Cricetulus griseus: one gene and its partners. The protein of the gene in region 2 purifies or fractionates together with the protein of the main gene of each other region. This does not show direct contact. Links are inferred from orthologs where the notes say so. Each region holds a gene or a part of one and is shown on either strand. Other genes may lie near its edges.

Region 1 (3,948 bases), on a different chromosome or scaffold from region 2:
TCTTGAAATTACTGTGGAAGAGACATTCATGATAGAGACTAGACAAGTCAAGACTATAAATATGACAAAGCACAATTGGACAATTTTCTGGATATAAAACTGCAGTTGGGCAAGAGGCATGGACTCTGTGATGTCTTGAGGTCTACTGAGAGCATGATAAATATGGTTGATAACATATGCTATACTTTAAAAGTTGTGAGATAGTATACTTTAAGTGTTCTCAAAACAAAAATGAATATGTGTGACACAACATGTTAATTGGTTTAATTTAGCCATGCCATTGTGAACATACTGTATTATGTATCATAATTGTGCATGACTTTATTTAGAGCTAAATGAATGAATGGAAAAAAAAAGCATCAGGTCTCAAGTGTACAACTGAACTGCACAAATACAACATCCATAGCCCTACCCTGTGGCAGGAATAAAGATATTGCTGTTTTTTTTTCTCACTTTATCCAATCTGTCAGAAAATAAGATGTATTTAATTCAAACAGACAAGAGTTAGGACAGGTTCTGTAATGAAGTGGACACAGGTTCAACTATATATTCGAATCACAGCCAGGATTAGAGTTCAAACTTAACCTCTTACATCTCAAGATGGTAACAAGCAAATGTGTTAGTCATCTCTTGGTTACGCTGAAAAAGCCTGAGAAGTCAATTTTAACGAACACTGCTATAAGGAAAACGAGTGGTCTGTGTATTTCACCAAACTGCAACTTTGTCGGGATGCATTACAAAAGGAGCAAAAGTTGCCATGCCTGGGAAAAAGCAAGCTGATTATTCAGTGGCTTGAGTACACGGGCTTCTCTTTTCCAAGGTGCTCTCTTGGACCGTGCTTCCTACATCACCGGGAGGCCGGAAGAGGGTGACCAGGGGCGGGAGCTCCGCTGACCGGAAGCCGAGTCCAGCTGTTCTCACACCCTCCTCACTTCCGTCTAAACCGAGAACTCCCAGTTTCTCAGGAGGTTTCACCTCCCGAAGTCACAAAAGTCCGGAGAAAAACAAACTCCAGACTTCGGTATCCGTCCGGACCAACAGGCTATCGCGAGATTTCGGGCTCTGCCACTAGCTTCACTGAAGGCATCGCGAGAGGGCGGTGTCGGGGGCGGGGCAGACACGTCGTGGGCGGGGCACGCCGTGGCGGGAATTTCGCCTGCTTCCGGTTTGTTCCCGGAGTGTTCCGCGTTCTGGTTGCCGGCCCGCGGGTCTCCCGGGGGCGGAACGTTCGCTGCACCCGGGGCTCTTCCGTCACGGTGGCCCGCGCTGGAGGGCACAGAGGCGGCGGGGCCGTCTGTAGCATCCCTGTCCGCGCCAGGAAAGCCGCCTGAGGTGCGCGGGGGGCCTCAGCAGCCCCCTGTGGCCGGGAGGGAGCCAGGGCGGCGTTGGGAGGCTGGTCAGAGGGGCCCGAGAGGACGCCCGGATGTTTGCAGACCTGGCTGAAGGCACGTTGTGGGTTTCCGAGCCCCTCGGCTACTTTTCAGCGTGCTCCAGCTTCTCTCCCAAGCCTTGGAGGTGACTGTGAGGTACCACGGTGTCATTTCAGGGCACGATGTGAATGATGGATGGCGGTTCTGCCGTGTCCACGACGTTCCTGACGGACAGTTTGGAGCTGGAGCTGGGCACGGAGTGGTGCAAGCCCCCTCGCTTTTCTTGCGCTTTCGACAAGAGAGAAGGAGCGTTGTTTTCTGGAGAGTCCTACCTTGCCAGTGGCGCTCTTAAGCGGTAGGTAACAAAAACTAATCGAGGGCTCCCCATCAGTGTTTGTTTATGTTTGCTTAATTGGTACTGAAGTCTGAACTTTGGTGCCCACCAAATCTTGTTTGGTATGTATAGTACCTAGAAGGTTCCAGGCAGTGTGTCTGCCTTGCCTGGGTTTTGAGTCTTTTCTTGGTCATTGATAATCTCTTGCTTTCTGAGCAGCAGCCTAGGCTATTGGAGTTGGTGTTTCTTCTTAAGGACAGTACCAGTCTACAAGTTTTCAGTAGTTTGTAAGTAAGGACGCAACTGGGTTTTTGTTGCTCTGGGTGCTTTCCAGCCCTAAGTTGTCTGTGCATACAGAGTCATAGACTTAACTTTGGTTGAGTTTGCAGTAAATTGCAGTAAAATGGCTTTTCTTGAATTATTTTTATTAATGGAGGAAACCATTTTTTTTTTTTTGCTGGTTTTGTGGTTATACCCACTTAACAACCTTAAAAGCACATTACATAACTTCATAATGTTATCCCTCAGGCATAATTCAGAATATTTGGTGATTTAAAAACCCATCAGTTGTTCAAAGATAAAATACTATGACCGTGTGTATTGCCTAGAATCCTTTTAGGCTTTTGAGCCACATTGCCATTATTTTATGCAATATAAGGTGTAGATACCCAAGCATTTCCTGACTTATATATGCCTCGTATAGCCTGGATTCAAATGTTTAAGTCGCCATTCTCATTACAGGTTGATTTTAAATCTTGATCCATTACCAACTAACTTTGAAGAGGATACAGTAGAACTATTTGGCATCCAGTGGGTTACCGAAACAGCATTAGCAACTTCATGTCGAGAGCTCTTTCATTTATTCAGGTACATGTATGTCTGCTTTTAACCCCAGATTCTAGATGCTGTCTAGTTTTACATTGCTGGGTGTTTCCCAATACTGATTACAAAAGCATCGGGAATTGCTTTTGTTTTGTTCGTCTTACCATTATCCACATAACGGTTTTAAGGAGTTGTTTATATTGCTTTTCAGAGTCCTTATTACTGTGTGTGCAATGCTAGAGATAAAACACAGGCTATTGTAAATGTTAGGCAAGCATCGCACCACTGAGCTATATTTGCATTGAATAAATATTTACGTGTGTGTATAATATTCTATACATAACATTGTATATGCATTGTTTTTGTTCTTAAGACAGAGTCTCAGTTGTATTCATTGTGTAGTGCAGGTTGTTCTGAAACTTACAGCAATGCTCCTGGCTCAGCCTAATGAGTGCTGAAATTTTAGGTGTGTACCGTCATGCCTGGCCTTGGTTTTGTGACACCTTGTTTCGAAGACAAGTATTTAAAGATTTAAACTACATTCTGTGAGCCCTCATAAAGAGATGCCAGTGTATCTTTGATGTATTCTGTATTTTAAGTTCTTCCTTTTAAGTGATTGTACATTCATACAATCACACATTAACGAATGTGTGATTGTATGAATGTATACATGCATGCGTGGTGCTCACAGAGGTCATCTCTCTAGCGTGAGAGAAGAAGGGGAGTGAATTTTCTATAATTGTGAACATTATAGTGAATGGGTTTTGTTATTGTTTGGTTTGTTTTGGTTGGTTTTTGGAGACAGGGTTTCTGTGTTTGACTGTCTTGGACCTTGCTCTGTAGACTATGTTGGCCTGGAACTCACAGATACCCACCTGTGAGTATCTCTGCCTCCTGATTGCTGGGGTTAAAGGTGTCTGCCACCCTGGCCTGTCAAGAGTTGTTGCTGGTTACCCTTCTTTAGACACCTCTTGCGGGAGGGGGTGAGAAGATAAGATGCAGTACCAATGACTCAGGCACCAGGAGTCATTGAGTAGCACAGGCTGCTGCAGACTTAGGCCTGCCTTTATACCCCCTCCCAAGGTCCTATTGGCGTCTGTGGGTCAGGTGTCCCTACAGCCGTGTGTGCTGGCCCGAGCACCTGTGACAGGGTGACTGCTCCTTGGGTAGGCTGGCCACAGTTTCTCCTACAATGAATGAGTCTCTCCAATAGAATTTGGAGGCAAGTAGGAATTAAAATGAGGCAATCTATGGCTTTATATGTATAATTTTCATTTATATAACTGTTTTAGTTTACTTTTCTACTGCTGTGATTAAAGACCATGACAAAAAGCAACTTGGCAAGAAAAGAGTTAACTTAGCTTACAGGTTGCAGTCCATCATCACAGAAAGGCATGGTAGGAGTCTGGATATAGGATGAAG
Region 2 (4,037 bases):
AAAAGTTCAGCAATGTATCCTTTATCAGAAACCATAGTTAACTGAGCATGTCAATTCAAAACCTTTAAAAAGCCAGGCAGTGGTGGTGCACACCTTTAATCCCAGCACTCGGGAGGCAGAGACAGGCAGGTCTACAAGAGCTCGTTGAGGACAGCCTCCAAAGCCACAGAGAAACCCTGTCTCGAAAGAACTGTTTAAAAACAATTTTGCTTTGTTACTAGAGGCTGTTTCTGGGACCCAGATGCCCTCAGCCATGCTCTCACAGATGTCCTTAATCTTTTTTGTTTGTCTTTGGAGGCAGGGTTTCTCTGTGTAACAGCCTTAGCTGTCTTGGAACTTGCTCTGTTTACCAGGAAGGCCTTGAACTCACAGAGATCTGCCTGCCTCTGCCTTCCCAGTGCTGGGATTAAAGATATGAGCCATCACCGTCTGGCTGCTAGCCACATGATGGCTCCATGGTTAAGAGTACTTGTTCTCCCAAAAGATTGGGTTCGCTCCCCAGCACCCACATGATGGTGGCTCACAACTGTCTGTAACTCCAATTCCTTCTTCTGAGCTTTGAGAGCACTAGGCATACACATGATACACAGCCATACTTGCTAGCAAAGCTCATATACATAAAATTAGTTTTGGTGTTTTGTTTTTTTTTGTTTTTGTTTTTTCAGACAGGGTTTCTCTGTGTAGCTTTGGAGCCTATCCTGGCACTCGCTCTGGAAACCAGGCTGGCCTCAAACTCACAGAGATCCGCTTGCCTCTGCCTCCCAAGTGCTGGGATTAAAGGCGTGTTTGATGTTTTGTTTTTGCTTTGTTTGTTTTTTTTTTTTTCAAGACAGGGCTAATCTGTTTAGCCCTGGCTGTCCTGGAATTCGCTCTTAGACAGGTTGGCCTGCCTCTGGAGTGCTGGGATTAAAGGCATGCACCAACACCGCACAGCAAAATAATTTTTTAAAAAATAAAAATATCTTTTTATACCCCCCCAAAAAAAACCCAGGTTGGGAGAGGAGTAAAGGAACTTCCAATCCCAGATGTATGAATCACCTTGCTGAGTTTTTAAACTCTGTATAGGTGCTCTTTTGATGAAACTGGATATTAAAAACAAGTAACTCAAACAGCTCAAAATGGAAAAACAAAATCTCAGAGCTAAGATTCTGAACCAGGACAGAAGGAGCAAGTGGAAACCACTATCTAAAACAAGATGTGAGAAAACCTGGAGTCCGGGCACAAAGAAATTCACAAGATAACATTTGCAATGAAAACAGACAGTAGTGTTTTGTTTAACAGTCTCCAGTTGCCCTGCTCTGAGGAGCCCAAACCAGCAATGACATGATTATCAGAACACCAACTGTCTGTAGAAGATTAAAAATAAACAAGACAGGGCAGTTACAAAAGGAGAGAGTCATGGCAACAAGATCTCTCACCGATTCTCGGAAGCCATCATACTTGTAGACATGGCCATTTTTTGTAAGCAGTTTAAGTCCATGGCCCAGTGCTACCCGGCGCCAGATGCCTTCTGTCAACTCCCCAGCCTGGATATTGTCCACTTTGCCGGTCTTGCTGTTCTTAAAGATGATACCCTGGCGGCTCAATCGTAGCCTCCCATCATTCTGTCCAAAATACAGAGCCAGATTCAGAACAGGATACAGTGTTAGCAGGTCCACTTTACCCCTCACCTGTGTGGTGCTGATGCAGGATGGCCAGATTATCAATGGAAAAGCAACAGTTCAAGTGGTGAGAGTGAGATCAAGTCAAAAGACACAAGAGACCTCAAATCAAGACCGAAAGCTTGGCTCTGGTACCCGCAGCCTTGTTAACCCCAGTTTCCTGGTTTTTAACACAGGAGTTTAGGATAGATCTACACGTGCAATCTCTTCAAACTGAAGAGCACAACTCTTGAGACTCTGCTGCTGCTTTTGCAGATACCCTATTTCCAAAACTGCAGTCAGGGTTAAGCTTTTCTTAATGGACACGAACTCTTCCCGATTTCTACATTTACTAAAAGACCAAGTCATTCTCACCATGGACCCTTTCACCTCCTGGAAGATGTCGTTGAACTCCAGTGTCTCTGCCATATTCACCTGTCTTGGTGGCCTGAGCACAGAGCCCTAGGCTGCACCAGAGCAAACGAACCCTTTTCTGGGAGCTGGGCCCCAATTCCTGGTGAGGTGTGTAGATGTTCAGCAGGGTGGGAATCTGAATTCAGGAAGGAGATTGATAAACAAGTAAAGACACCACCTTACCCCGCTCACCCATGGATAGCTGTGCCTAGACTGGATCGTCTCAAGTTCTCCAGCGCCTGAGGACCTTACAGACCCGGCTCTGCAGCGTTCCTGAGGCCAAGGCCCAGGACCCTAGGTGCAGAACCAGGCCTGTAGTGGCGCTTACACCCCAACCCGACACCCTCTCGGGACGTTCCATCGACAGTCCACGGCAACAATCGGCGCAAGCCCGGGACCTGCTCAGAGAGCGCACCTCAACTCGCTCGGAGAGTAGTGTCCCGACCCCAGCGATCCCACACCCCGAGACCCCCTGGACCCACGTTTCTCCCCCTCCTTTTAATATGGATTCGCCCACTGCCGGCGAAATTGAACGCGGAACGATCCATCTCGAGCGTCCCGCGGGGGAGCAGGGCCCATGCACACCCGGGACCCGGGATCGCGACCACCCACCTCTTTGAGCTGCAACCTCGCGACGGCACAGCACGGGCGGTGGGCGCAGGGGGACGCGGGGGAGGAGGTAGGGATGCGGGGGAGGGGACGCCGGGGAAGCTTTTCCCGCGTGCGCGGTCCCGCGTCCCGCCACCGGAAGTCGCGCACAAACCATAGAGAGGAAGACCTGGCTAGAAAGACACCAGCCGGGCGGACCAACGGGACGGTCTCCTAGAGCGTCGGTACCTTGGGCTAGTGACGGTCTTGCTGTGGAATCCCACGCGGCTGAATTGTTAACTAGGAAATGGGAGCTCTCTTTAGAAAGTTGCAAACCCTTCTAAAAAGCGGAGATTCTGAAGAGAAACTATGAAGTTTTATCAGGCTTTCAGGTTTGTTTGTATGTTGGAATCATTCATGTCCCTCTCTCCTGTTAAAATAGTCGGGGAAGGAGTCTTTTGGAAAGAGAAAATGCAGACCTATGGCCAAAATGACGCCCCCACTAGCCGCAAACGGAATGCGGGTGTCGGTGACTGTGCTTGCTTTCCAGCTGTATCCTGGCAAGTGGATCGGATCCTTTCTGAAATGAGTTCACCTTCCACCCCCAACATCATCCCATCCATATCCCTAATATGTGGGTTCTCAGGAAGAGCCTGGCAGATGGCCGCATTAACTTCCAAGTGCTGGTGTCAGATTTACCTTTGAGCTAGGACTTACTTGAAACCACATCAGCCTGAGTTGGCAGAACCCGGATGCCCTCACATAGCGCCAGGGTACATCTTGCAAAATCTGAAGCCGGGTCTGAAAGAGATGCTTGAGTTTATCTCGCCCTTCCTCATTTTACAGATGAGAAAATTGAAACACACAAAAGATTTGCCCAGGGTGTAAGTACATTGGCATCAAAGCTAGAGCCCGGAATTCAGATTCCTTAACATCAGCCTTTTATCATAACCATGAGGGTCCAACCTTTAGAGTAATTGCTAGCATGTGCCCTGCATAAAGACAGAATATTTAAACTCACGGTTTTCCTGACAATCACTGCACTGATTTGCTAACTCAGTCCTGGGATGTGAGACAGTCAAAATGCAGTCTTGCCATCTAGAATTTGTGGCTTTAACCCCTGGGTTAAGCACTGCTGTTTCTAGCACTATTTAACTGAGTCAAACTGGGTTTAAGACATGTAATGAGAGCCTATTGTTAAAGCATCACATTTCTAGGATTTGAGGAAACCATTGAAGATGGTTAAAACAGTCCCAACCTTTCAGGAGCACATACCCTAACCAAAGATTCAAGTAACCTGGGGGTAAAAAAGAAAATTCAGAAATTTCTATACAGCAAGAAGTGTTTCAGCCACTGCTGCCAACTGCAGTTAGAAGTAAGTGAATTTCCACTTTG
Region 3 (3,500 bases), on a different chromosome or scaffold from region 2:
AAGCAAGAAGGAAGGAGCGGCAAACAAGAACTCCCCCAAGGAGGTGAGCATATGGGCTTGTGGTAATCCTGGTACAGTTCTTATCCTTGGTGCTGCCGGGGAGTAGATGCTGATAAAAACTAGAGCCTGGGAGGTGGGTGTCTCACCAGGGAAGCATCAGGGAGCAGAAGCCCAACCTGGAGCACATCTCAGGCCCACAACTAGCCTGGTGTGCAGGAAGGCTCTGCCTCGGCAAGGACCGCCTCTGAGGTGAAGTGTGCTGCTTGTGTTGCAGGCGGACACTCAGCGGCAGTGGTAGCGGCAGTGGCAGCAGCTACAGTGGCTCCAGTTCCCGATCCAGGTCAGTTGCTTGGTCCTGCTCCATGTCAACCTTTTGTCTCTCACCCACCATGTTAGGGGCTCCTCAGGGTCCAGGGGCACACAGCTCAAGAGTGAAGATAGCTCCCTTAACACAAGAGCATCTCATCTTAGGGGAAGAGGCTCAGACTGGTACAGCCCAGCTGGACAAAGTGAGGCCACTCCCAAGTTCTCTGTCCACTCCTTCCCTGAGGATAGACAATGGTCTCTGGGCCTGCTGATCCCTAGGCATTTTGGAGAAACCCTTAAAGAAGACCAGAAAGGATTTAGAAGATGAAGTCAGCCTTCAGAGTTTTAGCACTTGTCCAAGATGTCAGCAGTCTGCACTGTCTCAAAGACTTGTGGTGTTTTATTTATGTACAGATATCCTGCCTGCATTTATATCTGTATGAGGATATAGGGTAGAGGCCTGCATTTATATCTGTATGAGGATATAGGGTAGAGGCCTGCATTTATATCTGTATGAGGATATAGGGTAGAGGACCCTGGAACTGGAGTTACAGTTACAGTTGTAGGCTGCCATATGGGTGCTCTGAATTGAACCCAGGCCCCACTGGAAGAGCAGCCAGTGCTCTGAACCACTGTGCCATCTCTCTCCAGCCCCATTTGTCTTTAAAGCTAGGAAATTTGATTCTTCTGTCTTCTCCCTGCCTCTGATGACCTTAGGATTGGTGTTTGTGATAGGCATGTCATGGTACTGCACTGTGCCAAAACAGAATCACCATCTACTCTCTCCATCCTCCCCTACCCCCTGGCCACAGCCTCGCCCTGTGTTCACTGTCCCTGACAGTGAAACTGTCACTGTTTGTTTAATTACTGTCATCCAATTTTTTTTCTTTCTTTTTTTTTTTTTTTTTTTTCCCGATGGTGGTACTAAAGGTGAAACCCAGAGCCTTGCATTTTGTTCTAAGTGCTCTACTACCGTGCTCCAGGGTTTTGGTTTTGGGTTGAGAGATGCCCTGTTTTGCCTAGATGAGCTTGAACTCCTGGACTTAGTCAGTTTTCTCAGGAAGCTGGGCACCGGCACACCTGCCAGCTGTCATCACCCCTTTTGTGCTGCTTTTGGTTTTTTAAGATAGGGTCTCACTATCAAGCCCTGGCTACACTGAAACCCACAGATCTGCCTTACCCTCTCCACTTACTGGAGAGGATTGTAATGGATTGTAGCTGTTGTGCACCATAAACGAGTTTAAAAGCATGTCCTTATACTGGGTGGCAGTGGCACACTCCTTTAATCCCAGCACTTTGTAGGCAGAGGCAGGCGTTTCTCTTGAGTTTGAAACCACCCTGGTCTACAGAGCTAGTTCCAGGACAGCCTCCAAAGCTAAACAGAGAAACCCTTTCTTTGGGGGGGGGGTGCTCTAGACAGGGTGTCTCTGTGGCTTTGGAAGCTGTCCTGGAACTAGTTTTTTTTTTTGTTTTGGTTTTTTTGGTTTTTTGAGACAGGGTTTTTCTGTGTAGCTTTGGAGACTATCCTGGCACTCGCTCTGGAGACCAGGCTGGCCTCGAACTCACAGAGATCCGCCTGCCTCTGCTTCCCCAGTGCTAGGATTAAAGGCATGTGCCACCACCGCCCAGCGAGAAACCCTTTCTTGAAGATAAACAAACAAATAAATAAATAAATAAATAAATAAATAAATAAATAAATAGATAGATAAGTCCTTATCACCATTGGTAGGGCTCAGTCACATTTCCCTTCTCACCATAGTGTCACCCTGGTTAGTAAAGTAGAGACCTTAGCTCATGACATAGCTGTCCTATCCTTATATAGTACCTCTGAAAGCCCCAAGATCTCTTACACTGTTGATGTGCATTCCATAAACATGGAAACTGGGTAAAGATGAGCCATAGAGACACCTCCCCCCACAACTGCCATCAGCCCAGCCATCTTGCAGTTTCATGGGGCTGAGGTGAACAGCTGTGCTTGTGTGTCTAGGTCTTTGAGTGTGAGCAGTGTCTCCTCGGTGTCCAGCGCCACCTCAAGTAGCAGCTCAGTGCACAGTGTGGACTCAGAAGACATGTATGCAGACCTGGCCAGTCCTGTGTCCTCAGCCAGCTCTCGATCCCCCACTCCTGCTCAGACCAAGAAGGAGAGAGGTAGGCAGGACCCATGCCCTAGGGGTGTGGGCTCAGGGGTGAGCTTTAAACAGACTGTTTGACTGTCCATGTTCACAGGAACATATGACTGAGGGTTTGTCATTGACAGGGAAATCTAAGAAAGAAGACGGAGTGAGAGAGGAAAAGCGGAAACGGGACCCGTCCACACAGCCACCCAAGTCCTCCAAAGCTCCGACAGGTGGGAAGTCCTCCCAGCAGTCAGCTGCACCTCAGCAGACAGCCCCTGGGCAGCCCCAGCAGGGCTCCTTTGTTGCCCACAAGGAGATAAAGCTGACACTGCTGAATAAGGTGAGACCAAGGGGACAGGCCAGTATTGTTGCACCTGGGCCTGGGTGCTAGGGATTCCACCCTGCCCCTGGGCTGAGAGATGGGCCAAGATGCATCAGCATAGTGCAGAGGTTTAGCACCTCAGAGTTACAGTTCATGTGCCTGTAACTGCAGCCTGGCTAGCTCCCCACACAGTAGCCCTGGGACAGCAGGCAGGCAAGCCTGGGTTCTGTCCTCAAAGCTCCATACCTATCTGGAAGGGCCAAGGCCTGACATGTTGGAGCCCTGAAAGGCACTTCCCTATGCAACACAAAGGGCCCGGTCACAAGGGTCACAGAACTGATTTTGGGGCAGGGGGGCAAAAAGAGGACCATGGGAGCAAAGAACCATTCAGATACACCACCACCTTCATCCTTGCCTAATGACTACCCAGGCCCTACCACCCTCACAGTATTGTGCTGTTTCAGGCGGCTGATAAAGGGAGCCGGAAGCGCTATGAGCCATCAGACAAAGACCGGCAGAGCCCTCCAGCCAAGAAGGCCAACTTAACCCCAGACCGAGGTGAGTCTCCTAGGTCCAGGGCCTGAGACATACCATGGATGCCACAAATAAGCCAGAAGGCCCACCTGCAGGGCCTTGACACTACATCTGCTTTGAAAACTATGGAGGACCCTGAGAACTCCTCTGCAGGTGTTCTAACACCCATACTATAACACTGGAGATTGCAGCTAGGATTTCATTTTGCTTTTAAACATTAT
Region 4 (4,209 bases), on a different chromosome or scaffold from region 2:
GGCAAACTTAGCCGGAGCCCGGCAACTGCCAGGCCGGGGAGGGAGGGAGGTAGGGAGGGAGGCTTGCAGAGCCTGGGCGACTTCGGGGGGACTCTCATTGTTGAGGCGCGGGAGCGTCCGGAGTCCCGGGCGCCTGGAGCAGGACTTGAGGGCAAGGCGCCGAGGCGGAGAAAGGAGGTGAGGCTGGAAAGGAAGTCCAGCGGACGGGGAAAGCCATCTTGAGGGGCGAGAGGAAGGTGAAAGGGAAAGAGCGCCCGGGCGAGTGAACTTTTCTCGGCGCAGACTTTCCGGAGAGAAGGAGGAGGTGGAGGAGGACTCGGACACGGCTTAATAGTTAGAGTTCTTTCACCCAGGCTGGAATTAATAGTTAACGTCAGGAATTACTGTCGAGTGCTGTGGGTTTTAGATAACCTGTCCTGGCAGAGGTAGGAAGGTTGAGCTCTGCACGTTCGAAATCCTGATCCACCCACCAGGTGCAGGGAGTCGGCCTCGGCCGAGGTGGGCAGAAGCCCGGGGTGACCCTCTGTTCTGCGGCGTGGAAAGAATCAGAGTTAAGTCGCTGCTGGAGTCAGAGGATAACTCTTGCCTGTCGGTGTGTGTGTGTGTGTGTGTGTGTGTGTCTTGGTACTTTCTGGCTGGGGAAGGATCTGACGTCTCCTTCCCCCGCTTCTTCCTCTCCCTCCCCTGCCAGAGATCTCCTTTGTTTATTCGTGGTTGGCTTGTAGGTGACTCTAGTGCTCCGGCGAAATCTTGAGAGGTGGAAATACTGTTTGTCTTGGTACCCACCTCCCGGCAATCGCCGGCCGGGAAAAGAAGATACAGTGTATATTCTTTGTATCAACCTTTTAATGCTTTTCAAGGCGTCCTAAGTACCACATCAGATAAATGTTTCTTTTTTCCTTTCCCTCCCTTTCACTCTACTTGATAAAAACCTCTATTTTGACGTTTGCATTTTTGTCAAAATCATGATACCTTTTTATCACACCCTTTTCCATATGGGCATTTAAAACCTTTCCTTAGCTGGAATATGAAGTTCATGGTAATAGGAATTAAAGCGTCACTAATGTAACCTTTACCAAAAAAAATTTATGTTACATGGTGCCACTTTGTTTTAGTGATGTATATATAAGTAGTGCTACACAGTAGCAATTAGCCTTGAAAAGTTTGTTGCCCTACAAATCTTTAAATTCCTTCTGTCGAAACAGCACTAGCAGTGGCAGGCAAGATTCTAGTAAGTAATTAAGAATGTATTTAATAGATGCCTAGTTATTCTAAGTCAAAGGCTTCCCCATCTTCCTTGCCACCTCTAGTCTAAGGGCCTAGGTACATTTCTGTGAGTTCTAAGTCGGACTTACTTCTTTTCCTACAGGATATGTTTTTAACTGCTAATATATTTCCCCCAGGTGAATCAAGAGAGGATCCCCAAGAAACCCTGTGAATGTTGAAGAAAATTCGTCTTTGAAATTTCGATATTCGAGGAAGTTGCCATTTATATTCATCTTTTATTAAAGTGGGAAGATTTGTGTTTTCCTTGAAATTTACAATGAATGGACACAGTGATGAAGAAAGTGTTAGAAATGGCAGTGGGGAATCGAGGTAAGCAGGCACTTTACATCAGCTGACCACTTGAGAATTGAAAGTGTGCTTGAGTGTTTTTATAAAACCGTTTTACTAGGCCAAAGTTAAAAAGATCCTCCTAATAGCAGTTTTGTAGCTGTTACAGGTGTGTGTGTGTGTGTGTGTGTGTGTCTGTGTCTGTGTCTGTGTCTGTCTGTCCGTGAGCATGAGTGGGAAGATATCAGAGAACAACTGATCAATTTAAATGTATTGGCGATTTATATTGAGTTAATTGAAGCTGAAACAGTAAAGAAATATTACTTGGTTTGACTGTTAATCAACTGTCCAAATAAATGCATGAAGCACTTCCACACTCCTCTTTTTCTGGAATTTTATGTTTTACACCTGCTTTTTTCCAGTGTGATAGCAGTAGCTACCAGCTACATGCAACTATTTATATTACAAAATGTTCAAAATTCTGTTAGTCACACCAGACATTTCACATGGTAAGTAAATGACATATGATGTGTGTCCACTATATTGGACAGCACTAATAGGAAACATATTTCTCCACCGAAGAAAACTTTAGACAAAATTGATGTGAACTTAAGTCTATTTTATTTGCATATTGGAGTTTTAGAGTTTTTAACTTGGACCATATTATTTCTCAGAACTAAAGTTAATGGAAATTAAGTGTTAAGTCATTTTTATGTGCAAGACAATCTTTTTAAAGGCAGGGTCTTAGGCTCATGCTGGCCTCAAAAAGATTTCCCAGTCTTAATTGAAAAGATTACAGGCATATATTGCTGCCTGGTCAAACACCATTATATTCTTTTGGTCCCTCTACATTTCTAGTAGTCTCCACATTACTGCTACAACCCATATATTCATATATACTATATACTATAACCCAGATATTCATATACTTATATTTAAAAGTCAGCACAGTAGATGTTGGAATCTGACTGTACACTTAATCCCAACTCTGTCAGTTACTCAATGTGAATTGAGATAAATCATTCTGTTCTGATTTTTGCTCTTGTAAAATGGGAATTACACGATTATTTACTAAAAATTAGGGCTTATACGAGATACCGTCTGTCAGCTTATCATGGTTTCTGATACAATGGGCATTGAGTATTTGCTTATTATTAGTTAGCATTATGTTTAGTGTCATGTAGGACACTTAACTGAAGTAGTGGTGGAGAAATGGGAGGGACAAGAAACAGGAAAAGTGAAGTGATGGGATAGTTTATGAAAACAGTAATAAAAAGAAAATAGAGAATAAAATAAACAGTTATGGAAGAAACACTTTAGTTCAACCAAGTATGGATCTAGAAGTTAAAACCCTGGTTGAACCGGGCAGCTGTGGCATGAGCCTTTAATTCCATCACTCAGGAGGCAGAGACAGGCAGATCTTTGTGAGTTCAAGGCCAGCCTTGTCTAAAGAGTGATTTCCAGGACACAGAGAAACCCTGTCTTGAAAAACCAAAACCAAACCAAAACAAAAAAGACCCAAAAGACAAAAAAACTGGGTTGAGGGTGGGTAAGATGACTGTGTGAAGAAGACACTTGCTGCCAAGCTTGTTGACTTGAATTTGATCCCTGAGACCCTGGGAAGAGAGAATTAGTTCTCTCAGGTTGTCCTCTTCACAGGCATACCATGGCTCTCTGATGCCCTTACATCAACATTTAAAACATTTAAAAGAAACAAAAAAAAACTTGATGCCCATACATAATTAGATAAACATTTAAAACAAGCAAAAAAACCAGAAAGCCAAACCAACAAATCCTGAATCTTGCATGAAATAGTTGTTTTAGAATATTTCCAAATACAACATTAGGATTGAAATAATTCTATAAAAGTAGGGACCAGTGTCATGGCACACACCTTTAATCCCAGTATTCTGGAGACAGAAGCAGGTGGCTCTCTTGAGTTCGAGGCCGTCCTGATCTATATAGGAGTTCAGGGACAGTCAGGACTACACAGACCCTGCTTTAAAAAGTCAGTGGGAAAAAGGTTGGAGTAAAGATACACATGGTAGAGTTTATAGATTCAATGGAGTTGAAGTTAGGTTAGAGGATTTGTGTGTGTGTGTGTGTGTGTGTGTGTGTGAGAGAGAGAGAGAGAGAGAGAGAGAGAGAGAGAGAGAGAGAGAGGGAGAGAGAGAGAGGGGGAGGGAGGGAGGGAGATTGAGATTTGGAGTTTCAGTGTGTAGCCCTAGTTCACCTGATTCTCATTATGTAGACCTGCCTAGCTGTGAATTTACTGTGGTCTTTGGCCTCTCTAGTGCTATACCTAACTTTTGAGTCAGATTTCTGTAGATCCATTGTAGTAAGTGAATAGAAGAGTTACATTGTTTAAGGTCTCTCATTCATTAGGAGCAAAGCAATGGTTAATAAGTAGCTATTTGCCGAGTACACGTAGGAACCAGGCTACCTACCTATTAGGAAGTCAGACTCTTGAAGCTTATCTGCTTAGCCAGGGGATCACCTGCTGGAACATTCTCAACACTTAAATTATTCCAGTGTTACCCTATCTAAAGCTAGGAGCAGCAATAATGCCAGTTTGATAATAGAGGTGAAAAACAAACAGGCAAACAAACAAAAAACCCTTTGAAATTATTTAGCAGTTTCCTTTCCAACTGGGCA
Region 5 (4,018 bases), on a different chromosome or scaffold from region 2:
TATACATAATAAATAAAATCTTAAAAAAAAAAAGAGGGAAGTCTTTGGGCTTTACCAGTACTTCATCCAGCAGTTCATAGACAAGAGCCACATTCCGTGAGACGGTCCCCTCACTGAGTGAGCCACAGTAGTCACACAAAAGAGTGGCTAGCCTAAGGAAACACAGTTGAGTGTGTGTGACTAACCCTCTCAGGCCCTGCTTCTTGGGTGCCCATCCCAGCCCCACTCACCTGGAAAGCAGCTCGAGGAGGCTGAAAGGAGAGACGTTTTCAGAGGTTGTGGCCACCAAGTAGAGGCCACTGTGTCTGATGTGGATGAAATGACGGTCATCATGGTACTGCGGCAGAGTTGGGGAGAGAGGCATTAAAAGACCAGAATTGCAGTAATGTAGCCCACGAGATGGCATCCTAAGGTTGCTACTAGTGGGTGATCCCTGAAACCTCCCAACTACCTGGCCTCCTAACGTGTAACCTACCTCTCAGGATTGTTGACAGTCAAGTGATGAGGGTGCAAGGCTGTTGCTGGCATCTTGTTAGCACTCAGTAAATACACTTGGAGAAACGTATCCCTTCCCCTCCCTGGAAGCTTCCTATCAAGCAGCCCTTGAAAGGGAGCGATGAGGCACCCACCAAGCTCTACAGTCCTAAGCCCCTGCAAGCCCGCCACAAGTGGTTACCATGACAACCGGGGACTCGCCTCCAGTCAGTCCCGTCAGCTTCCGGTAAAAGAGCTCGGCCACATCACGACCACCACTGTCCCCGCGAACTGGAAGGATAGTTAAGGAGCAGGCGACCCAGAAGGCTCTGGGCTCCACTTCTACCGACTACTCCGCCCCGTTTCGCTGGCCAAGGATACAGTCTTTGTAAATGAGTGGGTCCCCCTTGGAGGACAGAATGAAGAACTGGGAAATCATGGCCGTGCTGGAGGGCAGACGAGAAGACGGAGAAAGCTGAAGCCACCCCGCCCTGCGGCCGACGAACAAAAGGAGGCACGGAGGCTGGCGCTTTAAGAAACACTCCTCCCACTTCCACACGGGAGGCCGTAACTCTGAGCCGCGGGAAACCCGGCGCCCCACCCGCCGGGCCAGCACTCTCCCTGCGGCCCTCCCCCTCGCTGCCTGTCACTCGCCCCAGACTCGCCCAGGGATTGGTTGAAACTGGGTGCCGGCAGCGGTTAGGGGCCCCTGCTCTGATTGGCCCGTACTCAGCGGCACGTATCACGTGGGTGGCGACGTTTCGCGCCAATTTCGGTTGGTGGCTGCATCGCGCCGCGCGCTTGCTCTGCGCTTCCCCGGAGTGAGGCTTCTCGGCTCGCCGGCTCCCGTCGCAGGTCCCCGGCAGCGATGGCGCTCAAGGACTACGCGATCGAGAAAGGTGGCGTGCTGGGAGCGGGCTGGGAGCGGTTCTCCGCGGGCTTCTACGCCTGCCGAGGGGAGCCGGGGTCTGTGTCGGGGGGCCCGGCCTGCGCCCGGGACGAGCGTGGCGGGCATCAGGATGGGAGCGATGCGGTTGTGTGAGGAGCAGGACCCAGCGGGGCCAGGTAGAGGAGGGCGCCACCCCGCACCGCGCCGCGCCGCCGAGACCCGGGTGACGTGGGGCTCGCCTGCAGCGCGCGGCTCGCATGCAGCGCGCGGCCCGAGGGCCCGGGGAAAGGGGGGGCCTCTGCCTCTGCTCTTTGGGGCGCCAGAGAATTCCCGCGTCCACTCGAGACGCGCCGGGGTTCGGGGGCGGGGCTTGTCAGGCCGCTGCGCGCCGGGATTGGTTGTTTTAGTCCGCCCTCCAAGCGGAAGTAGAGGCGGGCGGAAGTGGCGCTTCCCTGTCGGAGGGAGTGTCGTGTGTAAACAGTGTCCTTCCGCGCAGGGGCTCGGGGGTAGCTGCGGCGGGTAGGGGCGTGCCTGGAACTGGGAGGCTGAACGCCCGGCGGCGAGAGGTGGCAGTGAAGTGGCCCCGAGTGGCCCTCTGGCGTGCTGGCCAATCGCCGCACGGCCAGCCGCCTCGGGCGGAGGGATCCTGGGCTGTGAGGCGGCTGGAATCCGGGCCCATGTGCTTCTTTGTTTACTAAGAGCGGAAGCGGTGGCGGGAGCGGGGTGTGGGGTGCGGGGGAGGCCTAGCGGCGGTCGTCCTGGCGGGAGTAGAAAAAGAGTTGTACGGGTGGAAGGAGGACCGAGAGTCTTGAAAGTCGATCGTGTGCGAGCTGAGAGAACGGAAGAAACTGAGACTCCTAACTGGGCAGTGAGTCACATTCTCTTTGGAAGCTTGGGGTAAGACTCTCGTAACTGCCCAGGGACCTGTATCCTTCCCCGGGTAAAAGCAGACTTGTGAAAAGGGGTACTGCCCGCTTGGGGGAGAACTAGGTAGGCTTCTTTTGACTGTTCATTTAACTAATTAGTTCATAGGTCCCGTCCTAAATGAAAGTGGGTTTCTTAGGCTTCCGTTGAAAATTTAAAGAATCCGAAAAGGTAGATTGTGTGTGCTGCACGAACATACCACTACTTGCACGTGGGTGTTAGATACAGGCCGAGAGTGTGTTCTCTCCCAGCCTGTGGGTGGGGCCCAGGGATTGAACTCTGATAGTCAGGCTTGGCCGCAGTGGTCTTTACACCTCACTGTTCCTTAAGATTTGTTTTTGAATTTTTACATTTGTTTGTAGAAAAAGTTAGAAAATTCCTGCAAGAGTTTTATTATGATGATGAACTCGGAAAGAAGCAGTTCAAGTATGGAACCCAGTTGGTAAGTCCCAGGATTGGTAATGGGGGGTTGGAATAGCATGTAAGAACTTGTACAAGGTGGTCTACCTTGTTACAGCAAGTATGGCTGTCAGTGGATTTTTGTTTGTTTGTTTTGTGGGTTTTTCGAGACAGGGTTTCTCTGTGGCTTTGGAGGCTGTCCTGGAACTCACTCTTGCAGACCAGGCTGGTCTCAAACTCACAGAGATCCACTTGCCTCTGCTTCCCCAGTGCTGGGACTAAAGGCGTGAATGATTTGGTTTTGGTTGTTGTGTACAAAGTTTTTCTTTTTAGCTTTGGGTTTTGTCTTTTTTTAACTGTTTGAATTATGTTTATTCGTGTATGTGTGGGCTTACATGGAAATGGAGGTCGAATGTACAATTTGGGGGTCCATTCTCTCACTGTGGGTTCTGGGGATCAAACTCAGTTCTTCAGGCTGGGTGGCAGTGCCTGGCCCATTGAGCCATCACCCCTATTCTTGGCTCTTGGTTTTTAGAGATAGTATTTGTGTGACATGGACTGGCCTCAAGAATACTTCATGTGGTTAAATAGCTGAGATTGGCTTTGAACTCCTGATCATCCTGACTTGTGCCTCCCAAGTACTGGGATTACAAGCACACTGCCATGCTAGACTGTAGTGGCTAGTTTAGCAGAGTACTTGTCTGGTATGTGGGGCAGTGTTTATAGGAGTCAGGAAGTTGTTTTCGGGGCTGAAAGTGTTTCTGCACTGTGATCTTTTGTTTTTGTGGATGTAGTAAACTTGGTCCTTGCCTCAGGTTCATCTGGCTCATCGGGAACAAGTGGCATTGTACGTGGACCTAGATGATGTTGCTGAAGATGACCCTGAGCTGGTCGACTCAATTTGTGAGAATGCCAAACGCTACTCAAAGCTGTTTGCTGATGTTGTACAAGAGCTTCTGCCTGAGTACAAGGAGAAGGAGGTAGGTTGCTGGTTTCTGAGCTCTCCTGCCCGATAACCCCCATTCTTTTCCTGTCCTGCTTCTCACTTTCCTTGTCTTCTTTAGGTGGTGAATAAAGATGTTCTGGATGTTTACATTGAGCACCGACTGATGATGGAGCAGCGGAGCAGAGACCCTGGGGCAGTCCGGAACCCTCAAAATCAATATCCTTCTGAGCTGATGCGTAGATTGTAAGTGTCTTTGTGGGTAAGGTCAGGAACTTGTTCTCCAGGACCTTGCTGACAAATGTTTTCTTCTCTAGTGAGTTGTATTTCCAAGGCCCAAGTAGCAGCAAGCCTCGAGTGATCCGAGAAGTGCGGGCTGATTCTGTGGG
Region 6 (2,333 bases), on a different chromosome or scaffold from region 2:
CTGGTTCTAATACCATAAACCAGAAAAAAAAAAATCTTTACATAACACAGGATATAAACATGGTCATTTTTCTCACACATGCTAGGCAAGTGCCCTGCTATTAAGATACATCCCTCGTTTCTACAGTGTTATTAGTTTTGTATATGTGATTTGGGTTGCTGTCAGTTGTTTCCCCGTGCTTGTATTTTGTATGCGTACTATGATAGGAAGTCAGGATAACCCCCCCCCCTCCACCATGGCGCTGGACCAGCCGAACCACCTCCCCGACCCTTGAGCGGGTTTTAAATGAAGTACCTGACCAAAAAGTGTCAATTCAGAACTCTCCTCTGAGGGCTGAATGTTAACTTGTCCTGTTGCCTGTGGTTTGAGTTTCTGCTGAGTGCAGAGATGACAGGTTCTGATCATGTAGTTGGGCTGAGGATGTGACAATAGGCCGGTGACAACACTAGTGATTAGTACAGTCCAGCCTCAGTCTACTGTTGCTATGTCCTTCCTATTTAAAAGCCAGAAACCCAAAATTTGCCACTTCCTTGTTTTTAAAAGTTGGGTAAGGGGCCTGGGGAAATTGCTTAGCCGTGAAGCACACTGCCTGTTCTTCCAGCCTGTCAACACTAGTTGCCAGGAAAATCTGATGCCCTCTTCTGGCTTCTGAGGGCACTGCATACATGGTACATACACAAAACACCCATTCACTTAAAAAAAATTAAAGCCAAAAACTTAAAATTGGGTAAATCAAATCACAGACATTAACTCTCCATAATTCTCATGTACACTGTATGTATACTCTGTACTCTGCTATGCTCTGGGCCAAACAGTGATAGGGAACCAGGTGTCTAGTGAGACGGTCTTTAACTGAATCTTCCCCCTTCTGCAATTGTCCACTACAGGGTCCGTCTTAGTAAGCGTCGGGCCAAGGCTGGGGTTCAGTCAGGCACCAATGCCCTGCTTGTGGTCAAACACCGGGACATGAATGAGAAGGAATTAGAAGCTCAGGTAACAAACTCTGCTGGCCTAGGACCCCCACGGGACCCCCACGGGGAGGCTAGCGGTGGGTGAGGACAGAACACACCCTCCATCTTCGTCCCAATTCACTGGTTCTAGGAGGCACGAAAGGCCCAGTTGGAAAACCACGAACCAGAGGAGGAGGAGGAGGAGGAGATGGAGGCTGAAGAGAAGGAAGCTGGGGGCTCAGGTAAAGGAGTGGTCACACCCTTTCCTGGGAGCTCTGGGAAGGCGGCAGGCAGTGGGGGTCTCACCTGTCCTTGCTTCCTGGCAGATGAGGAGCAGGAGAAAGGCAGCAGCAGTGAGAAGGAAGGCAGCGAGGACGAGCGCTCTGGCAGCGAGAGCGACCGGGAGGAGGGTGACAGGGAGGAGGGAAGCGACAAGAGTGGCAGCGGCGAGGATGAGAGCAGCGAGGACGAAGCTCGTGCTGCCCGCGACAAGGAAGAGATTTTCGGCAGCGACGCTGATTCAGAGGACGATGCCGACTCTGATGAGGAGGACAGAGGGCAGGCCCGTGGGGGCAGTGACAATGACTCGGACAGTGGCAGTGATGGGGGCGGCCAGCGGAGCCGCAGCCAGAGCCGGAGCCGAAGTGCCAGCCCTTTCCAAAGTGGCAGCGAGCACTCAGCTCAGGAGGATGGCAGTGAAGCTGCAGCTTCTGATTCCAGTGAGGCTGAGAGTGACAGTGACTGAGCCGCGAGGCCTCCTGAGGCCAGCGCACACACCGTTAGGGCAGGGAAGCACTTTTCTAGCTGTCTGTTTTGTGAGCCCCTTGTTCGTCCCCACCCCTCGAATCTTTGCTGTTAATAAAGTCAACTTCTCTTGACTTCACCTCCCAGAGCTTCAGTTCTTCGTCCCCTCCAACCCATCCCTACCCCAGGTGCTCCATGACCTCCGCCTGAAGCACAAACGCAAAGCCCCATGGACTTCCCAAGAAATGCATTGCAACAAAAATCACAATCTTTTTGGTTTTTTTTTTTTTTTTTTTTTTTTTTCCAAAATAAGCCCAGACCATTAACAATTGAAACTCCAACAAATAAGTCTTCTCCAACAGCGAGAAAATGTACAGTTACTCAAAGCTGATTCTGCCAGTGGGGCTGGGGACAAAAGTGGGTAGGGTAGGGTGAAACCATGGAGGGGATGGGGGAGGAGGAGGGTCAGGGTCCTGCCTGTCAGAGTGGGGCCGCCTGCGTCCTGCACTCTGCTGTCGGGTGGGGGGCAAGCTCTCACCTCCCTCTCGGGGAGGGTATCCCTTACCACCTTCCAGTGCCAAGCAGGGTCAGTCACCCTGATGGGAAGTGAACAAGACAAGACTAGACCAGCTCGTGGAG
Region 7 (3,500 bases), on a different chromosome or scaffold from region 2:
TGCATGTTAATGTGAGGTCAGCTTGCTGGAGTCAGTTCTCTCCACCATGTGGGTCCTGGGGTCAGATCCAGGTTTTTGGGCTCAGTAGCAAGTGTCTTTACCTGCCAAACCATGTTCCCGACCCCAATTTTAGAAGTCTTGTTATACAATAGCTAAGGAAAAATTTGAACTCCTGATCCTTCTGCCTCGGCTCCTCCTTGCCTAGATTGTAGCAGTGTGTGTGTCCCTGGTTGCTCCTTGGGTGGCTGTTTTTATGTATTTGCCTCTTGGTGCTCACACATGCTCAGTTACTGACATTGCCAGGGAGAACTGCTAGTTTGTTTTCATTGATGAGGAGACCCTGACTGAGTCACTTGGTTTCATTTTCCCTTAAACAGGAATTGTGGGTTTTAAATTTCCCATTGAAGCAGTTGTTAGAGCCCCCACAATGCTGTGCTCAGTGAGTAACGATTGTGGTGATTTTTCCATTTGAGGTGCAGGTTTAATTTTAGTAGTTTAATTGTATTTGATGATGTTTCTAGACACATTGAAACACCAGTTATTAAGGACTTATTTTCAAGAATACCCAATGAGATGAAAGTTGATGGGTAGGGTTCAGTTTCTAAGATGAAAAGAAAATGAATTTTCTATCATGCCTTTAAACCACAACTGTAAATACTTTTGGAAGGAAAATGAAACACCACACCACACCAAAGCTGTGCTGTTAACTGTAATATTCCCTGTGGTGGTTACTTAGCTCTTGATGTCCGCCTTTAAAACTCACAAGTGATCCAGCATGACCCATCAGGTAAAGGCATTTGCCATGCAAGCCTGGTGACTGGAATTTGTAGAAAGGTGAAATTTGAGCACATGTATGGCAACACTATGGCTATACACTATGGCTATACTTTTTTGTGCTTTAATAAAAGACAAAGTGCAAAAGGAAAACATGAAGGGTGGGAACCCTGGGTGCTTACGCATGGACAGCAGAAGTGCTGTTCTGAGCAGCATCGCTTGTGGGATTAAATAGGAACTTGGCTCTGGATAGATGGGTACTGGTGATGGAGAGAGTATTTTACAGTCTGAGCAGGATGGCACGTGCCTTTAATTTCAGCACACCGAGAGGCCCTGTCTCTAAAACACTTCTTTAAGCCAGATGGTTGTGGTGTAGGCCCTCAATCCTAACAGAGGCAGAGGAAGGCAGATATCTGAGTTGGAGGCCAGCCTGGTCTACAGAGTGAGTTTCAGAATAGGCAGAGCTATTTGTTACAAAGTAACCCTGTCTAATAAAACTACTTTAAGAAACTACTTGAATAAAAGTTTGGCCACTTTCTATGTATTGTTTTTCTTAAAAATAATGTAGTTTCCTGCATTGTCACTTGGAGAAAGTAGGCTGTGTGAGAGGATGAGACTCTGGCAAACCTGTGTTTTCTCTCTTTTTTTACAGTCAGTACTGCTCCACAGCCTAAACCAGTAAGTATAAGCATGCAGCACTCCTGTGTTTAACTTCTGGGTACTGGGCACGGGCATATTATGGATGGTAGTGGTTTATTTAGAGTGAAAATCAAAGAAAAGGACCATTTCCTGCGCTTCCATGATTTTCTCCAATAAATCTGATCACACCGTCAGCAAGTTTGTATACTGGTGAGGCTTCTGTGAATAGAGGTGACCCAGCCTCCAGACTATACAGAAGATGGAGACCTGTTAGTGTCATTTCGTTAAGTTTCATAACAGTTCTGCAGATTTGCATTAATGGAATACTAGGGAAAGAGTGGAATTTAATTAGGAAATAATTAAAGTTATCAGTTGTCTCCAACCAGGGGTAATGGATTAGCCACCTGAAGGCTTTATCTGTTTGTAATCTCCGCCCAGGCTGACAAAATGTCAAAGAATAAGAAGAAGAAATTGAAGAAGAAGCAGAAGCGCCAGGCAGAGTTACTAGAGAAGCGAATGCAGGAAATTGAGGAAATGGAGAAAGAGTCGGGCCCCGGGCAAAAAAGACCTAACAAGCAAGAAGAATCAGAGAGTCCTGTTGAAACACCCTTGACAGAGAACCCACCTAATAAAATGACCCAAGAGAAACTTGGTATAAATAGAGCGTTGCAACCATGGCTTCATGGCATACCTGAGCATCTGTTTATCTCTGTTATGTAATGTGTGGTTTCATGTATGCAGCTCATCTCTGGGGGTGTCCTGTAAGAATTCAGATCTTACCATGATGCTAGGCAGGTGATAGTAAAGTGTAACTTGTTGCTTTCTCCTCCAGAGGTGGAGATAGACTTTGTAGCTACTGGGTAAGGATGAGATCTTTGTCCTTCCATCAGTAGGTGTCAGAGGGTTGTTAGTCTTGTTTTTATGTCACTCAGTAAAAGCTAGAAATGTTGTAAACTTGTGAGAAGTATCTGTTGTTGACCAGCACGTACACACACGCATCCTTTTCTGTTTGTTCCTTAGAAGACTCAAGTTCCAGTGGTCAGGATCAGACCCTCACGGAGTGTGCTGTAGAGGGTGGTGACACAGAAATTAATTGCAATGGAGTAATTGGAGTCGTTAATTACACTGAAAACAGTAACAATGAAACATTGAGGCTGAAAGAGGACCTGCGTAATGCTAATGACTGCCGTGTGCACACTTTGAAGCAGGAAGCTAGTTTCCTGACCTCCCCAAATGGAGACAGCAGTGCATCTCCAGAAACAGACTCTTGCACACCTGTGACCTCTGAGGTGTCAGAGACCATGGTGTGCCAGGCCTCCTCCGTAGAGCAGGACATCAGCCACCTTCAAGAGAGCATCCGGGCAGAGATTCCTTCTGGGGATGAGCAGGAGCAGGAGCATAATGGACCACTGGACAACAAAGGTACCACCCTGACGCCCGCCCTGCACAGCGTGCTCTTGGATTCCTAGGCAAACTGCTTTTTTACACCAGGCATCTGTTTGGTTTGGTTTGGTTTTTCCCCATGGGGAGACAGGGGTGTCTGTTACAGTGGTTGAAGTGGGGTTGGGCAGACTTTGTGTAGTTTGGGCAAAATCTACCCCGAGCTACATCTCGAGGGAGCAGTTGTTCAAGTTACTTCCAGTGTGTAGATCTGTGGCTAGCTTTAGAGTGGGGACAGAGCATTCCAGTCATCTGTCTACAGGGGCTTTATGCTCTAGGAGCTTGAGTCTTAGTGGACTGTGGTGGCGCATACCTTTAATCCCAGCAGAGGCAGGTGAATCTCTGTGAGTTCCAGGACAGCCAGGGCTATACAGGGAAACCTGTCTCTAAAAGCCAAAAAAGCAAAGAAAGAAACTTGAGTCTTACAAAGAAAGCTTCAGGAGAAGTTCCTGGGGATCGTCTAAATCTTAACTTGGAGACTTTTGTTTCCCTTAGGTTATCTTGTGTTCATTTAACTCTTTTAACTGATAATGGCTGTTGTCTGTAGGAAAATTCACTGCTGGAAATTTTCTTATTAATCCCCTTGAGCCAAAAAATGCAGAAAAACTCAAAGTGAAGATCGCCGATCTTGGGAATGCCTGCTGGGT

What was found.
Region 1: the proteins of Ssrp1 (region 2) and Mms22l purify together in Homo sapiens (affinity purification with mass spectrometry; 3 studies listed by BioGRID and IntAct, counting the BioPlex papers as one, with this or other methods). This does not show direct contact. The link is inferred for Cricetulus griseus from reciprocal best matches to the Homo sapiens genes SSRP1 and MMS22L.
Region 3: the proteins of Ssrp1 (region 2) and Zc3h18 purify together in Homo sapiens (affinity purification with mass spectrometry; 3 studies listed by BioGRID and IntAct, with this or other methods). This does not show direct contact. The link is inferred for Cricetulus griseus from reciprocal best matches to the Homo sapiens genes SSRP1 and ZC3H18.
Region 4: the proteins of Ssrp1 (region 2) and Chd1 purify together in Homo sapiens (affinity purification with mass spectrometry; 3 studies listed by BioGRID and IntAct, with this or other methods). This does not show direct contact. The link is inferred for Cricetulus griseus from reciprocal best matches to the Homo sapiens genes SSRP1 and CHD1.
Region 5: the proteins of Ssrp1 (region 2) and Mcm7 purify together in Homo sapiens (affinity purification with mass spectrometry; 4 studies listed by BioGRID and IntAct, with this or other methods). This does not show direct contact. The link is inferred for Cricetulus griseus from reciprocal best matches to the Homo sapiens genes SSRP1 and MCM7.
Region 6: the proteins of Ssrp1 (region 2) and Paf1 fractionate together in Homo sapiens (co-fractionation; 3 studies listed by BioGRID and IntAct, with this or other methods). This does not show direct contact. The link is inferred for Cricetulus griseus from reciprocal best matches to the Homo sapiens genes SSRP1 and PAF1.
Region 7: the proteins of Ssrp1 (region 2) and Srpk1 fractionate together in Homo sapiens (co-fractionation; 3 studies listed by BioGRID and IntAct, with this or other methods). This does not show direct contact. The link is inferred for Cricetulus griseus from reciprocal best matches to the Homo sapiens genes SSRP1 and SRPK1.

Annotation. Positions count from the first base shown.
Region 1 is NC_048595.1:117,167,652-117,171,599, reverse strand, and holds the start of Mms22l (protein MMS22-like), read left to right. Parts: upstream 1-1,148; 5' UTR 1,149-1,445; intron 1,446-1,546; 5' UTR 1,547-1,558; coding exon 1,559-1,725; intron 1,726-2,445; coding exon 2,446-2,571; intron 2,572-3,948. UniProt on the Homo sapiens protein: Component of the MMS22L-TONSL complex, a complex that promotes homologous recombination-mediated repair of double-strand breaks (DSBs) at stalled or collapsed replication forks.
Region 2 is NC_048599.1:90,498,068-90,502,104, forward strand, and holds the start of Ssrp1 (FACT complex subunit SSRP1), read right to left. Parts: upstream 2,801-4,037; 5' UTR 2,667-2,800; intron 2,191-2,666; 5' UTR 2,070-2,190; coding exon 2,016-2,069; intron 1,605-2,015; coding exon 1,419-1,604; intron 1-1,418. Other genes in the region: P2rx3 (P2X purinoceptor 3), read left to right, coding at 3,012-3,042. UniProt on the Homo sapiens protein: Component of the FACT complex, a general chromatin factor that acts to reorganize nucleosomes. The FACT complex is involved in multiple processes that require DNA as a template such as mRNA elongation, DNA replication and DNA repair.
Region 3 is NC_048596.1:199,058,590-199,062,089, forward strand, and holds part of Zc3h18 (zinc finger CCCH domain-containing protein 18), read left to right. Parts: coding exon 1-43; intron 44-274; coding exon 275-340; intron 341-2,293; coding exon 2,294-2,454; intron 2,455-2,563; coding exon 2,564-2,763; intron 2,764-3,209; coding exon 3,210-3,303; intron 3,304-3,500.
Region 4 is NC_048595.1:294,596,785-294,600,993, forward strand, and holds the start of Chd1 (chromodomain-helicase-DNA-binding protein 1), read left to right. Parts: upstream 1-1,409; 5' UTR 1,410-1,543; coding exon 1,544-1,596; intron 1,597-4,209. UniProt on the Homo sapiens protein: ATP-dependent chromatin-remodeling factor which functions as substrate recognition component of the transcription regulatory histone acetylation (HAT) complex SAGA. Regulates polymerase II transcription.
Region 5 is NC_048597.1:116,878,958-116,882,975, forward strand, and holds the start of Mcm7 (DNA replication licensing factor MCM7), read left to right. Parts: upstream 1-1,218; 5' UTR 1,219-1,342; coding exon 1,343-1,373; intron 1,374-2,109; exon of another isoform or gene 2,110-2,260; intron 2,261-2,649; coding exon 2,650-2,729; intron 2,730-3,501; coding exon 3,502-3,666; intron 3,667-3,750; coding exon 3,751-3,875; intron 3,876-3,946; coding exon 3,947-4,018. Other genes in the region: Ap4m1 (AP-4 complex subunit mu-1), read right to left, coding at 56-152, 231-337, 677-765, 856-913. UniProt on the Homo sapiens protein: Acts as a component of the MCM2-7 complex (MCM complex) which is the replicative helicase essential for 'once per cell cycle' DNA replication initiation and elongation in eukaryotic cells.
Region 6 is NC_048602.1:7,488,776-7,491,108, reverse strand, and holds the end of Paf1 (RNA polymerase II-associated factor 1 homolog), read left to right. Parts: intron 1-887; coding exon 888-993; intron 994-1,101; coding exon 1,102-1,192; intron 1,193-1,276; coding exon 1,277-1,695; 3' UTR 1,696-1,833; downstream 1,834-2,333. UniProt on the Homo sapiens protein: Component of the PAF1 complex (PAF1C) which has multiple functions during transcription by RNA polymerase II and is implicated in regulation of development and maintenance of embryonic stem cell pluripotency.
Region 7 is NW_023276806.1:233,711,155-233,714,654, reverse strand, and holds part of Srpk1 (SRSF protein kinase 1), read left to right. Parts: intron 1-1,426; coding exon 1,427-1,452; intron 1,453-1,851; coding exon 1,852-2,065; intron 2,066-2,433; coding exon 2,434-2,835; intron 2,836-3,400; coding exon 3,401-3,500. UniProt on the Homo sapiens protein: Serine/arginine-rich protein-specific kinase which specifically phosphorylates its substrates at serine residues located in regions rich in arginine/serine dipeptides, known as RS domains and is involved in the phosphorylation of SR splicing factors and the regulation of splicing.